Schizosaccharomyces pombe: one gene and its partners. The gene in region 1 interacts genetically with each later gene. Each region holds a gene or a part of one and is shown on either strand. Other genes may lie near its edges.

The links.
Region 2: mutations in gmh2 (region 1) and otg3 impair growth when combined (synthetic growth defect), as found in Schizosaccharomyces pombe (one study listed by BioGRID).
Region 3: mutations in gmh2 (region 1) and otg2 impair growth when combined (synthetic growth defect), as found in Schizosaccharomyces pombe (one study listed by BioGRID).

The regions. Positions count from the first base shown.
Region 1 is NC_003424.3:167,029-171,957, reverse strand, and holds gmh2 (alpha-1,2-galactosyltransferase Gmh2), read left to right. Parts: upstream 1-1,902; 5' UTR 1,903-2,107; coding exon 2,108-3,148; 3' UTR 3,149-4,192; downstream 4,193-4,929. Other genes in the region: ATP-dependent chromatin remodeller/ubiquitin-protein ligase E3 Rad8, read left to right, coding at 1-986; alpha-1,3-galactosyltransferase Otg1, read left to right, coding at 4,423-4,929.
Region 2 is NC_003423.3:3,118,337-3,122,300, reverse strand, and holds otg3 (alpha-1,3-galactosyltransferase Otg3), read left to right. Parts: upstream 1-1,775; 5' UTR 1,776-1,943; coding exon 1,944-3,074; 3' UTR 3,075-3,464; downstream 3,465-3,964. Other genes in the region: alpha-1,3-galactosyltransferase Otg2, read left to right, coding at 1-1,015; proteasome core particle subunit beta 1 Pre3, read right to left, coding at 3,674-3,964.
Region 3 is NC_003423.3:3,120,271-3,124,191, reverse strand, and holds otg2 (alpha-1,3-galactosyltransferase Otg2), read left to right. Parts: upstream 1-1,743; 5' UTR 1,744-1,787; coding exon 1,788-2,906; 3' UTR 2,907-3,421; downstream 3,422-3,921. Other genes in the region: tif306 (translation initiation factor eIF3f), read left to right, coding at 386-1,294; alpha-1,3-galactosyltransferase Otg3, read left to right, coding at 3,835-3,921.

The DNA.
Region 1 (4,929 bases):
TCCTCGGATTACTTTTAAGATTAAGACAGGCGTGTTGTGACCCTGTGCTTCTTTCCAATATGACCATTAACAGTGAAACGTTTGATGATTTTGAGTTTTCGGTTGAGCAATTTAATTCTTTAATTAATCAATTTGTTGTCACTGGAAAGCCCATTCCTTCAGATATTTTAAAAATTGATACACTGAAGTCTTTTGAAGCATTGATAACGGAATGTCCCATATGTTGTAATGAACCAATTCAAAATCCCTTGTTATTGAACTGCAAGCATGCTTGTTGCGGAGATTGTTTGTCAGAACATATTCAGTATCAAAAAAGAAGAAACATAATTCCTCCGCTTTGTCATACATGTCGTCAACCCTTCAATGAGCAAGATGTCTATAAACCTTTTTTTGTCAAAAATAACGGAACACAGTCTACGCTTTTAGTCGGTGAGGAAGTAAAATGGAAATATTGGAATAGGCTACAATCAGTGAAACTTAATGGCCTTTTAGGACAATTGCGTCAATTAACTCATAGTTCTGAACCTGAAAAGGTCGTTATCTTTTCACAGTTTACCACATTCCTGGATATTATCGCAGACGTTCTCGAGTCAGAGAAGATGGGGTATGCTAGATTCGATGGTACCATGTCACAACAAATGAGGTCGACGGCTTTAGAGACATTTCGAAATGATCCTGATGTTAACGTGCTGATTATCTCTTTAAAGGCAGGCGGGGTTGGTTTAAACCTTACTTGTGCCAACCATGTTTTTATTATGGATCCATGGTGGAGCTGGTCAGTGGAAGCACAGGCCATCGATCGTATTCATCGTTTAGGACAGGAAAAGCCTGTATTTGTGACGAGATATATTGTACGTGATACTGTTGAGGAAAGGATGCTCAAAATACAAGAACGCAAAAATTTTATTACTGGGACCCTGGGCATGTCGGAAGGAAAGCAGCAGGTTCAGTCAATTGAAGACATCAAAATGTTGTTTGAATATTAACAACGGTTTCACCAAGCCGATTAAAAGCTATCGTAAAAAAAAAGTATTTTCATATTATGCATATGAAATGCAATTGCTACCGTGGTCGTTGTCATGACTGTCAAATTCTAAGAGAGTATGTGATAAACAAACTGCGTTACAAGATAAATTATAAACTATCTACACCCCTTGGATTTGTTGATTCACGTCTATCACTAATGAATGCGAAATAGTCGAATTCGGTGCATAAGTAACAAAAGTATTAAGGAACGACAGTTTACCCTGGAGCTATACAATCTAAAGTAGTGAATGTGTAATACTTTATTCCATTTTTTGAACTCATAAATTTCCTTGGATGACTTACTTTTTTGTATTCATGATGTTGTTGCTGAGTATCATGGGCAAGGGAATATAAGTTTTAGCTGCTGCAGTGTAAAGGCTGGCTAATGTTTTGTTCAGTATATTAGAGATAGGTATAATTGTTAACTTTTATTCGATTTTTTTATTATTGTTAACCTTGTTAAATAGTAGTAGCGATTGTGATGGAAATCCGGTCACAGAAAGAAAGCGATGTGTATAATTCAACTATATTGGTCAGCCTCTCTCTTTGTTGAAAAGTCGAAGTAGTTGTTTAATAAGGTCAAGATATTTTGATGAAATCAGTGACACAAAATTAAATCCGAATATTTTAGCTAAGTTTTCATTCCATAAATTTCATTTTTCTAATAGCTACCCGTAGAAAGTTTTATAAGCAAGTAACGTGCCGGTTGCTGGGTTATAAAAATTTAGGCAAGGTTACGGTTGTCTCTACCATCGGCAAAGGAGCCGACGTTAATAAAATATTTAACAAAGCCTTTAAAAAATTAACGATAGCTAGTCAAAGGAAGCTTAACGCGTATTCAGCCTCATTAAGACAATCAGGAAGCTTTTTTTTACCATCAGCATATACCTCTAACCCTTTGATTTATTTTTATATCTCGAGATTTCGTTCGTTATTTTATAGGTCGTTTCGATAAGACCTTAATACAATCTGATTTAGTGGTTGTTTAAGATTTCGGAAAAGCCTTTTTTTCAAAAAAAGTTTTCCAGTTATTGTTTCATTATTTCTAATTGATTTACTGAAGAATTGTTATAACCTAAAGATGGCACTTATGTTATCCAGGATTCCACGTCGTTTTTTTTTCTTATTTTTAACGGTCGGCTTGATTGCTGGCGCGTTTCTATACTCGTTGATATATTTTGTGGACGTTGATTTGGTGTCGAAGGTTAACCAGTTGTATGATCAGCAAATTGCACCCATGCTCTCCGATGCTATTGGCACTCCATCCGTTAATCACTCGTTTGAGTTGGCGCCGTTAGACTCTCATTTGGTGGCCACAAGCACTACATTCCACGAGGCGTCATACGAGTCAGAGCCTCAGCAAAATCCTGCCAGTCAAAATATTGTCTTATTACTAGTTAGTGATGGACACACTTCTTACAATAATGGAGCTAATACGTTTGAAGAAGCTATACAGAACAGAGTTGACTATAGTACCAAACAAAACTACAACTTTGAGTATGTCAATGTTACTGGCCTCCCTATTCCCGCCGTTTGGTCCAAGATGCCCGCCGTCTTACAAACTATGAAGAAATACCCCAAAGCGGAATGGATCTGGTTGTTGGATCAGGATGCAATTATTACTAATACCCATCTTTCCCTTCAAGACTCCTTTTTGAAACCTGAGAACTTGCAAAAGACCTTAATTACTAATACCATCCTCACTAAACGGCCTATAAATGCTAACGGGGATTTGCGTTATACACCAAGTAATTATAGTTTAAAAGATATCGAAAATCTCATGGTCATAATCTCACAGGATCACAATGGATTAAACGCAGGTAGTATCTTGTTCCGTAATTCACCTGCTACTGCCTTGTTTTTGGATATTTGGACAGATCCTGTTGTTGCAGAATGTGCGAAAGCCAATAATGAACAAGACATGCTTGGATATTTGATTTCTAAGCATTCACAACTTGCTTCGCTGGTTGGCCTTATTCCTCAAAGAAAAATAAATGCTTTTCACGAAGGTCCGGAAAATATGGAATGGCAAAAAGGTGATTTGGTAATTCACTTTGCTGGATGTTGGGTTGAAAACCGCTGCGATGAACTATGGCAAAAGTTTTACGCCTTGATTGACTAAGTTGCTTATTCATTATATCCGTCTGTTTAATTTGTTTGTGTTTTAAAAAATTTTATATATATAAACAAAGCGCCGTATAATTTTCCGTCAATCTTCCTTTCTTTATCTGAATCTCTAATAATGTTTACTATTTTTTAATCTTTACATACCTAATTAATATAGCGGTTGTGCCATAGCAATCAAAGTTTCAGGTTAGTTTTTTATAGCGAGATATCTGGGAGTTTTGTTTTACACAATCGTCCATCAATAATTGTTATATATTGTATATATTTCACATTGACTTTGAAGCTGTTTCTGTTGGTTCAACTAATTTGCTTTGGCAATTTACCAATGCAATATTGAAGATTGGAATAACAGTTTGGCGTTAATAAATCTTTTTAATAATTTGCATTTCACCGCAGCTGCCATTTTCTGTTAAATGCTGATAGAAGTTTTATTGAATCATTCGTGTCGGATTATACTAAGTTTTTATTTATCTTGTTTTTTGGCCCTACAAAGTATTGGTATGTCCTTATTTTATATTGATTACACTGGCTTTTGGCCTTATAAAGATATAGATTAGTTGCTAAGTCTAAAAGATGTATTTTTTAACGGTGGTTCCATTACGTCTGTGCACCCACTGTTTACACTTGTGTCTTTACAAACCTAGAAGCATTTTCCGATTAATGAGGTCTATCAGGTCAAGGAGAAAGAATATTTGAATAGATTTATCGACAAAATATATTTCGTTAAATTTACACAATATTTACTTTACCAATAAGCTAAATGGTATTTCCAATACTTTTCCAGCTAACAGTCAGATTTTTCACTGTTTGAAACAACTTCACCAAATTAATTCATTAGTGTCAATTTCTATTACATGCTTAAGCTCATAATTTTCAACATCCAGATAGCTCGAAAGTTGACACCATTACACACAAACTAAGATGATTGTGAAAAAACAAAGCGTTAGGATTTGTAAAAGGCAATTCCACAATTTGAATTACAATACTGTAACTGAATATAGCGCGGCACATGGTACAAACAACGTGCTGGTAATAAATTGACAAATGCAGAGCAACCCGCGTGATGAAACATAAATCTCGGATATTTTTTCTTTAAAGGGTTGTTAACGCAAGTCGTTTAAGGGTAAAAGAAATAAATAAATTTTAGAGGGTAACATCCTCATAAAGGGAGTCATCTTTAGAGCCTTTTTTCATTTTTTTAAGGCTTTCGAAAATTTCACGTGTCTCAAATTCTATTGTTTCAGCGGTTCGTTGAATTAATCTCTTATCATGTCTCGAATTTCACTTTCAAATTTTTTATCTCTTCCGCGTTACAAATTCCTGTTGTTTTCTGTGGTTTTGATTATTGTGATGACAACCTTAGTGTTTAACGGACACGATTATAAGCAAACCCTTAATGACCGGCTTACTTCATTAAAAAACAACTTTGTTGAGGAAAATGATAATGCCGTCTTAAAAGAAGAGCCTGGCAAATATACGTATATGAGTTTGTTTACTATGCCTTCTACTGAAGAGGATTACTACTTCAACGCTACTAGGGTTTTAATTCACCGATTGAAATATCATCCTACTACCAAAAGTAAATACCCTATCCATATCCTTGCACTCCGTGGAGTAGATGAGTGGAAAATTGAACGTTTTCGAAAGGATGGTGCTTCTGTGATTGTTATAGACCCCATTGCTTCATCGGATATTGTATACGATACATCCTCATTTAGTCAAGAAATATCTGCTAGATATGAACAAATGTTTTCGAAGTTGCGAATTTTCGAACAA
Region 2 (3,964 bases), on another chromosome or scaffold:
CAATCATAGTCCAGAAATACAAAGGTCAGTTTACACACTGACAGGGTTGGCGCCCTCTTCTAAGATGGCATTTGTAACTATGCTTACTGTACGCGCCGCTAATGGGGAAAACGAAGTAGAAAATACGCAACAGGATTGGTATTATAATTCAACTAGGCTTCTCGTTCACCGACTTGTCAAATTTAAACCTACGAAAAGCAAGTATCCCGTTGTAGTGCTAGCCATGAAGGGAATTGATCAGTGGAAGCTTGATCAATTGCAGGAAGACGGAGCTATTGTTAAAGTAGTCGATCCACTATATGCTCATGAAGTGGTTGACGATGTCAATGACATTGCCCTACTGGATTCCCGATGGAGTATGATGTTTACCAAGTTGAGAGTTTTCGAAATGTACGAATATGATAGAATATGTTTTCTTGATAGTGATATTTTGCCTATTAAAAAAATGGACAAAGTTTTTGATGTTCACCAACTCTCCTATAGTAAGGATTCTGTTCTGTTTCCTCCCACCCTATTCTACAAGCCTAGGCGCAGCATTTTTTGGAGACGCTTTACAGAAGAGTTTGCAGCTTACGGGCTGACAAGAGACGATCTTTATCCCTACGTTTTCGCTGCTGTGTCCGATCCAGGTATGTGGCATGAAACTCCTCCTCCTTTTAAAGATTATTTTAATGCTGGTCTATTCGTCTTTAAGCCATTGAAGGCACATTATAAAAGGTTAATGGCATTAGCAAGGTTTCCAAAATTGTATGATAATGCAAACATGATGGAGCAAAGTTTGCTAAATTTTGCATACAATTCAGCAGGTGCTTTTCCATGGGAGTCACTTGATTGGACTTTTAACGGACTTTGGGCTAGAAAAAATGACTTACCATATCTAAAAGCAGTTCATGGAAAACATTGGCAACCAGAAGGAAGTCTAGGTTATGATGAAGACACATCCAAGCTATGGTGGGATGCGTTTCAAGAAATGCAAACGTATCATGACCAACAACGTAATGCTGATTTATATTAAACAGATGAAAGCAATTTTCATGTCGTGATCAAGTAAAAAATAAGGCGGCTTTTGACTTTTAAGAAGCAGTTATTTTCATTTAATGTATTGCTGACAACACGTACTGTTGAAAGGCTATCTCATTTTTACAGTCATTCTAAAATAATTTGTGTTTCCTCCGTCCTTTTTTAAAACCACTATACTATTCAAATTCATATACACGATCGATGGGATTCTGGATACAGGTAAACCATAATCAAAAAAATAGCTTCCTCTCTGTATGCAAATTAGATCACGTATGTTTAAAACTCACTGAAAGTTCAATGGTTTCAAGAAATTTTGCTCCTTCTTAAAAAATTCCTAATTAGTGTAAAGAATCAAGTGTTAGTCCTATCATCAATTTTAAAATTGTAAGCAAACATGTTATAAATGCTTTTTCTTTGACCAAAGGAAAACCAACGGATTTATATAAAAATTGCTAATTAGTGAGCATACGTATCCTTAGCATGTTTTTCATTTTTAGATTTCAATAAGACATTTGAAAATGTTTTAGGTAGCAAATCTATTTAAAAGTTGTTTTAAATATATATATCAAAGAAGGCTTGGTTTTAGATAGAGTGAAGATGGGATAGAAAATATCAATAGCAAGTAATTGATAAATTTTTTAAACCTTTTAATGTCAAATAACAAGTACTGTAAACTCAAATAATCTTAAAATTTTACATGAAAAACTATACTTCGTACGCATTACATCGTACCTTTAGTCTCCTAAATTGTAGTCAGCCACTACCAAACTCAATAATACAAACTACATTATATTTATTGTATTAAACCTAGCAAGTCTTAACGAGATATAGTCAGTTATAATCCTAGGGTTTTTATTATTCTGGTGGGGATTTTATAGCTATAAACGAAGTTGCGGAAAGCGATAAAATTTGCTTTATAGAATATGAATTTCTTTAAGCGGTTACGCTTACATACCAGGCTTCTACTTCGCTCAAAATTTGTCTTGATTTCACTAATTCTTTTGCTGAATTTGGGTTTACTTTTAGGGATCCAAATATATCGGGATCCCGCATTTCCTGGATCGCTAATTTCATCGGCAGCCTATGAATTTGGGCTTCATAAGCATGGCCCATATTATAACGATAATGTAGATGATTTAAAAAGGTATACATTTATGGGCTTACTTACCCTTCCTACTTCAGAACATGATGTATACTTCAATGCTACTCGAGTACTAGTATACAAGCTGAAACATCATCCTGAAACGAAAAGTAAATATCCCGTTCATGTCCTTGTTATGAAAGGGGTTGATGAATGGAAAATTGAACGATTGCGACTTGATGGGGCCGAAATAATTATGGTCGATCAAATTAAAACTGAAGACTTAATTGAAAGTGGTTTGTCTATTGGCATGGGCAGTTATCGTTATCAATACATGTTCACAAAACTCAGTGTATTTGAGCAAACACAGTTTGATAAGGTCTGCATTCTGGATAGCGATCTCCTAGTATTGAAAAACATGGATGACATTTTTGATACTCCCTATGTTTATGAATCTCCTGCAGAACCCGATATGTTTAGCTTTCCTATCTTTAAGAAGCCAGATGATGAAGAGGATTATCAGTTTAGCGACAATTTCGATGCCTATGGTGCTCCTCGCTCAGAATTCTATCCATATCTTCTTGGCGCATGTGACGATCGTAACCCTGGACATGCGACGCCCCCAGAAGAATCTGAAACTTTTAATGCCGGGCTGATGCTTGTTCATCCCAGTAGTCTTCATATGCATAGGATTAAGAAGATAGCACGTTATCCTTATATGTATGACGATGCTAGAATGATGGAACAAAGTTTATTAAATCTTGCTTATAATAAATATGGTTGGTTTCCCTGGACGAGGCTCGATTTTTCATATAATGGAGTTTGGGTCACCGAAGAGGACTTACCCTATCTTCGTGCTGCTCATGGTAAATTTTGGGAATATGACAACACGGAGTTTCCCCAAATTTTGACTGCCGAGTGGCATAAAGCGTTCGGAGAGTTGCTGGCTTTTCATGACTATGTTGTAGAATAAAAAATGAAGGGGGGCGTTTATCTTTAATGTTTTCATGCTTCATTATTTTTTTGTCCCACTTCCATTCCTTGACCTGTAACTACGGTGTACCTGTTGAAGAGCTTAATACATATCTCACCGTGTATATTCTTACCGTTAAAGTTTGTTCTTTTCACATAATTTCTGCATTCAATTTTAAACAAAAAAAGACACATCATATTTTATTCTTCTTTAGAAGGGTCTACCGGTGTTCGGACTAATTTTATATTTTACATGGCTGATTACAATTTTCTTGTATGAAGCTGATAATCAAAATTTTAAATGTGCTTGCAGGCATCTTACAACATTTTTACTCTTATGACAATTACATAGGACTCATAACAATAATATTCTTTCACTATCAACAATATAACTACACTTCGGTAGTTAACTGTAACTATAAAAAATCTTTCTATTTTAATCATCACAAAGACTTATCTCACTGACCAGAAAAGTAACTTTTCTTCATGACCTTGCACTCCAAAAGCTACAAATAATGAGACAGGCATTAATAAGGTCAAGTCTAGCATAAGCATTGGGTATCAGTATAGTCACGTAAAATAAAAGGAAACGTGAAGTACTTAGTGAGTAAATACGGGAATAGGGTTAGCAGTATCAATGGCAAAAAATTTACGCTCCATTCCATCTTTATTTAAAATGACCATTCGAATGGTACCACCACTGCTGCCATCGCGTTCCATGGCTAAAGCAACAGCGTTCTTTAAAAATTCAACAGCCTCCTCTTGGGTCATATTTTCGCGAAAGTTAGCATCGCAAAATCCATAAATAAAAGCAGAACCACTTCCTCCAATAGCTAAAGGTTGCTTATGCAAACTACCACCTAACGGAATACTGTAAACATCTCCCCCAGT
Region 3 (3,921 bases), on another chromosome or scaffold:
TATTAGTCAAGAAAAAGCAAACTGCTTTTTTGGGTTTTATGTTTACACTTTTTTGCTAACCGAATTTTTTGAACATTGTATATATATATAAATGATTTTTAACCAGAGAATGTACAAATGTAAATAGTTATAGAATTTTGAATAAAGAGTTTCTCATTATTGTACGTACAAATGAGACATTGTTAAGGAGATTTTTTAGATTATTCAACGCAACTGAAAATACACTTTCTTAAATGGTAAACCTTAGAAGTTAGGCGAAAAATAGTGTCTTCAATTTAACGAATTCTATGAGACTGTAAACTAGTACAGTAAAATTATTATTGATTGGGGAACAATACCAGATCTACCTACCTGAGAGTAGCCAACAACGTGAAAATTTTAAAAAATGGCTTTGGGGACTAAGCACGTACTCCATCTCACAAAACCGTCTTCCAGGTCAAGTCCTTTGAACATTGTCATTGAACCAGCAGTGCTTTTTTCTATCCTTGACCATTCAACCCGGAAAAGTGAAAATAATCAACGTGTTATCGGTACACTTTTGGGAACACGTTCTGAAGATGGCCGAGAAATTGAGATTAAAAGTTGTTTTGCAGTTCCTCATAATGAGAGCAGTGAGCAGGTAGAAGTTGAAATGGAATATCATCGTGCGATGTACCATTTACACCTCAAGGCTAACCCTCGTGAAGTTGTCGTTGGTTGGTATGCTACTTCTCCTGATTTAGATGCTTTCAGTGCACTGATTCAAAATTTATATGCTTCTCCTGCTGAACCCGGAACTGCTCCACTAGGAACGTATCCTCATCCCTGTGTTCACCTTACTGTCAACACAGATGTTAGCAGTCCCCTTGCCATCAAGACTTACGTTTCTTCACCAGTAGGTATTACAGAGCGCCTTGCTGACAGCTGTGCATTCGTCCCTACCCCTTTTACCATTCGTGATGACGAGGCAGTCCGTTCTGGTTTGAAAGCTGTAGCTGCTCCTAAGAATGACCCATCTAGACTTGCTAGCCTATTCACAGATCTCCAGCAACTTCGAAGATCAACCTTGGAGCTTTTATCTATGATTGAAAGAGTTTCCGATTATGTGCAAAACGTAATTGATGGTTCTTCGCCTGCTAATGTTGCTGTCGGTAGATATTTGATGAAGTGCTTTAGTTTAATTCCTTGCGTAGAAGGCCAAGATTTTGAAAAAATTTTTTCATCACATCTTCAAGATGTTTTGGTTGTAGTTTATCTCGCAAATACCTTACGTACTCAAGTGGATATTGCTTCCCGTCTTAATTTGCTTCCCTAAGCAATTGTTATAACCTAAAAAATCCGGACAATTTCTAACAGTTGTTCGATAGCCCTTTTTTCAAGTCACCGTTATTTTATCCTTTTTTCACACTGGCTGTTAACCCTCAGTGGAAGCAACTGTCTTTATCTCGTCATTCACCCATTTCGACATAGTTTGAGTAGCTTAGCTTGTCGGTAACTATTTAGTATTATACTATAATTGGTTTAGGTTAAACGTCTTATTAAATAAGAGAAAATTTTAAGTCAGAGTCATGTATCTTAACATTTCTTATAGTTAAAATAGTAAGCTTGTTTAATTTTTAAACATTTGATGTTTTTACGTTATAAAGTCGATTTAATTATGTTATTTGTTTTTCAGGGTGTTGAGTTTGTTTTGGTATTGAAAGTAAGCAAAATGTGTATGATGCACCAACAAACATTAAGGGAGTATGTAGAGTAATTCTCTCCGAAAGCACCACCATTTTATAATTTGGCAATCAATTGCCATTAAAATGCGTTTATATTTTAGTGCTTTTCGCCATCCCAAACGACTAGGACTGTGTTTACTGATTACCTTGAGCATTATTTTATTAGGTTGGCAATGTGTTTTGCTATACAATCATAGTCCAGAAATACAAAGGTCAGTTTACACACTGACAGGGTTGGCGCCCTCTTCTAAGATGGCATTTGTAACTATGCTTACTGTACGCGCCGCTAATGGGGAAAACGAAGTAGAAAATACGCAACAGGATTGGTATTATAATTCAACTAGGCTTCTCGTTCACCGACTTGTCAAATTTAAACCTACGAAAAGCAAGTATCCCGTTGTAGTGCTAGCCATGAAGGGAATTGATCAGTGGAAGCTTGATCAATTGCAGGAAGACGGAGCTATTGTTAAAGTAGTCGATCCACTATATGCTCATGAAGTGGTTGACGATGTCAATGACATTGCCCTACTGGATTCCCGATGGAGTATGATGTTTACCAAGTTGAGAGTTTTCGAAATGTACGAATATGATAGAATATGTTTTCTTGATAGTGATATTTTGCCTATTAAAAAAATGGACAAAGTTTTTGATGTTCACCAACTCTCCTATAGTAAGGATTCTGTTCTGTTTCCTCCCACCCTATTCTACAAGCCTAGGCGCAGCATTTTTTGGAGACGCTTTACAGAAGAGTTTGCAGCTTACGGGCTGACAAGAGACGATCTTTATCCCTACGTTTTCGCTGCTGTGTCCGATCCAGGTATGTGGCATGAAACTCCTCCTCCTTTTAAAGATTATTTTAATGCTGGTCTATTCGTCTTTAAGCCATTGAAGGCACATTATAAAAGGTTAATGGCATTAGCAAGGTTTCCAAAATTGTATGATAATGCAAACATGATGGAGCAAAGTTTGCTAAATTTTGCATACAATTCAGCAGGTGCTTTTCCATGGGAGTCACTTGATTGGACTTTTAACGGACTTTGGGCTAGAAAAAATGACTTACCATATCTAAAAGCAGTTCATGGAAAACATTGGCAACCAGAAGGAAGTCTAGGTTATGATGAAGACACATCCAAGCTATGGTGGGATGCGTTTCAAGAAATGCAAACGTATCATGACCAACAACGTAATGCTGATTTATATTAAACAGATGAAAGCAATTTTCATGTCGTGATCAAGTAAAAAATAAGGCGGCTTTTGACTTTTAAGAAGCAGTTATTTTCATTTAATGTATTGCTGACAACACGTACTGTTGAAAGGCTATCTCATTTTTACAGTCATTCTAAAATAATTTGTGTTTCCTCCGTCCTTTTTTAAAACCACTATACTATTCAAATTCATATACACGATCGATGGGATTCTGGATACAGGTAAACCATAATCAAAAAAATAGCTTCCTCTCTGTATGCAAATTAGATCACGTATGTTTAAAACTCACTGAAAGTTCAATGGTTTCAAGAAATTTTGCTCCTTCTTAAAAAATTCCTAATTAGTGTAAAGAATCAAGTGTTAGTCCTATCATCAATTTTAAAATTGTAAGCAAACATGTTATAAATGCTTTTTCTTTGACCAAAGGAAAACCAACGGATTTATATAAAAATTGCTAATTAGTGAGCATACGTATCCTTAGCATGTTTTTCATTTTTAGATTTCAATAAGACATTTGAAAATGTTTTAGGTAGCAAATCTATTTAAAAGTTGTTTTAAATATATATATCAAAGAAGGCTTGGTTTTAGATAGAGTGAAGATGGGATAGAAAATATCAATAGCAAGTAATTGATAAATTTTTTAAACCTTTTAATGTCAAATAACAAGTACTGTAAACTCAAATAATCTTAAAATTTTACATGAAAAACTATACTTCGTACGCATTACATCGTACCTTTAGTCTCCTAAATTGTAGTCAGCCACTACCAAACTCAATAATACAAACTACATTATATTTATTGTATTAAACCTAGCAAGTCTTAACGAGATATAGTCAGTTATAATCCTAGGGTTTTTATTATTCTGGTGGGGATTTTATAGCTATAAACGAAGTTGCGGAAAGCGATAAAATTTGCTTTATAGAATATGAATTTCTTTAAGCGGTTACGCTTACATACCAGGCTTCTACTTCGCTCAAAATTTGTCTTGATTTCACTAATTCTTTTGCTGAAT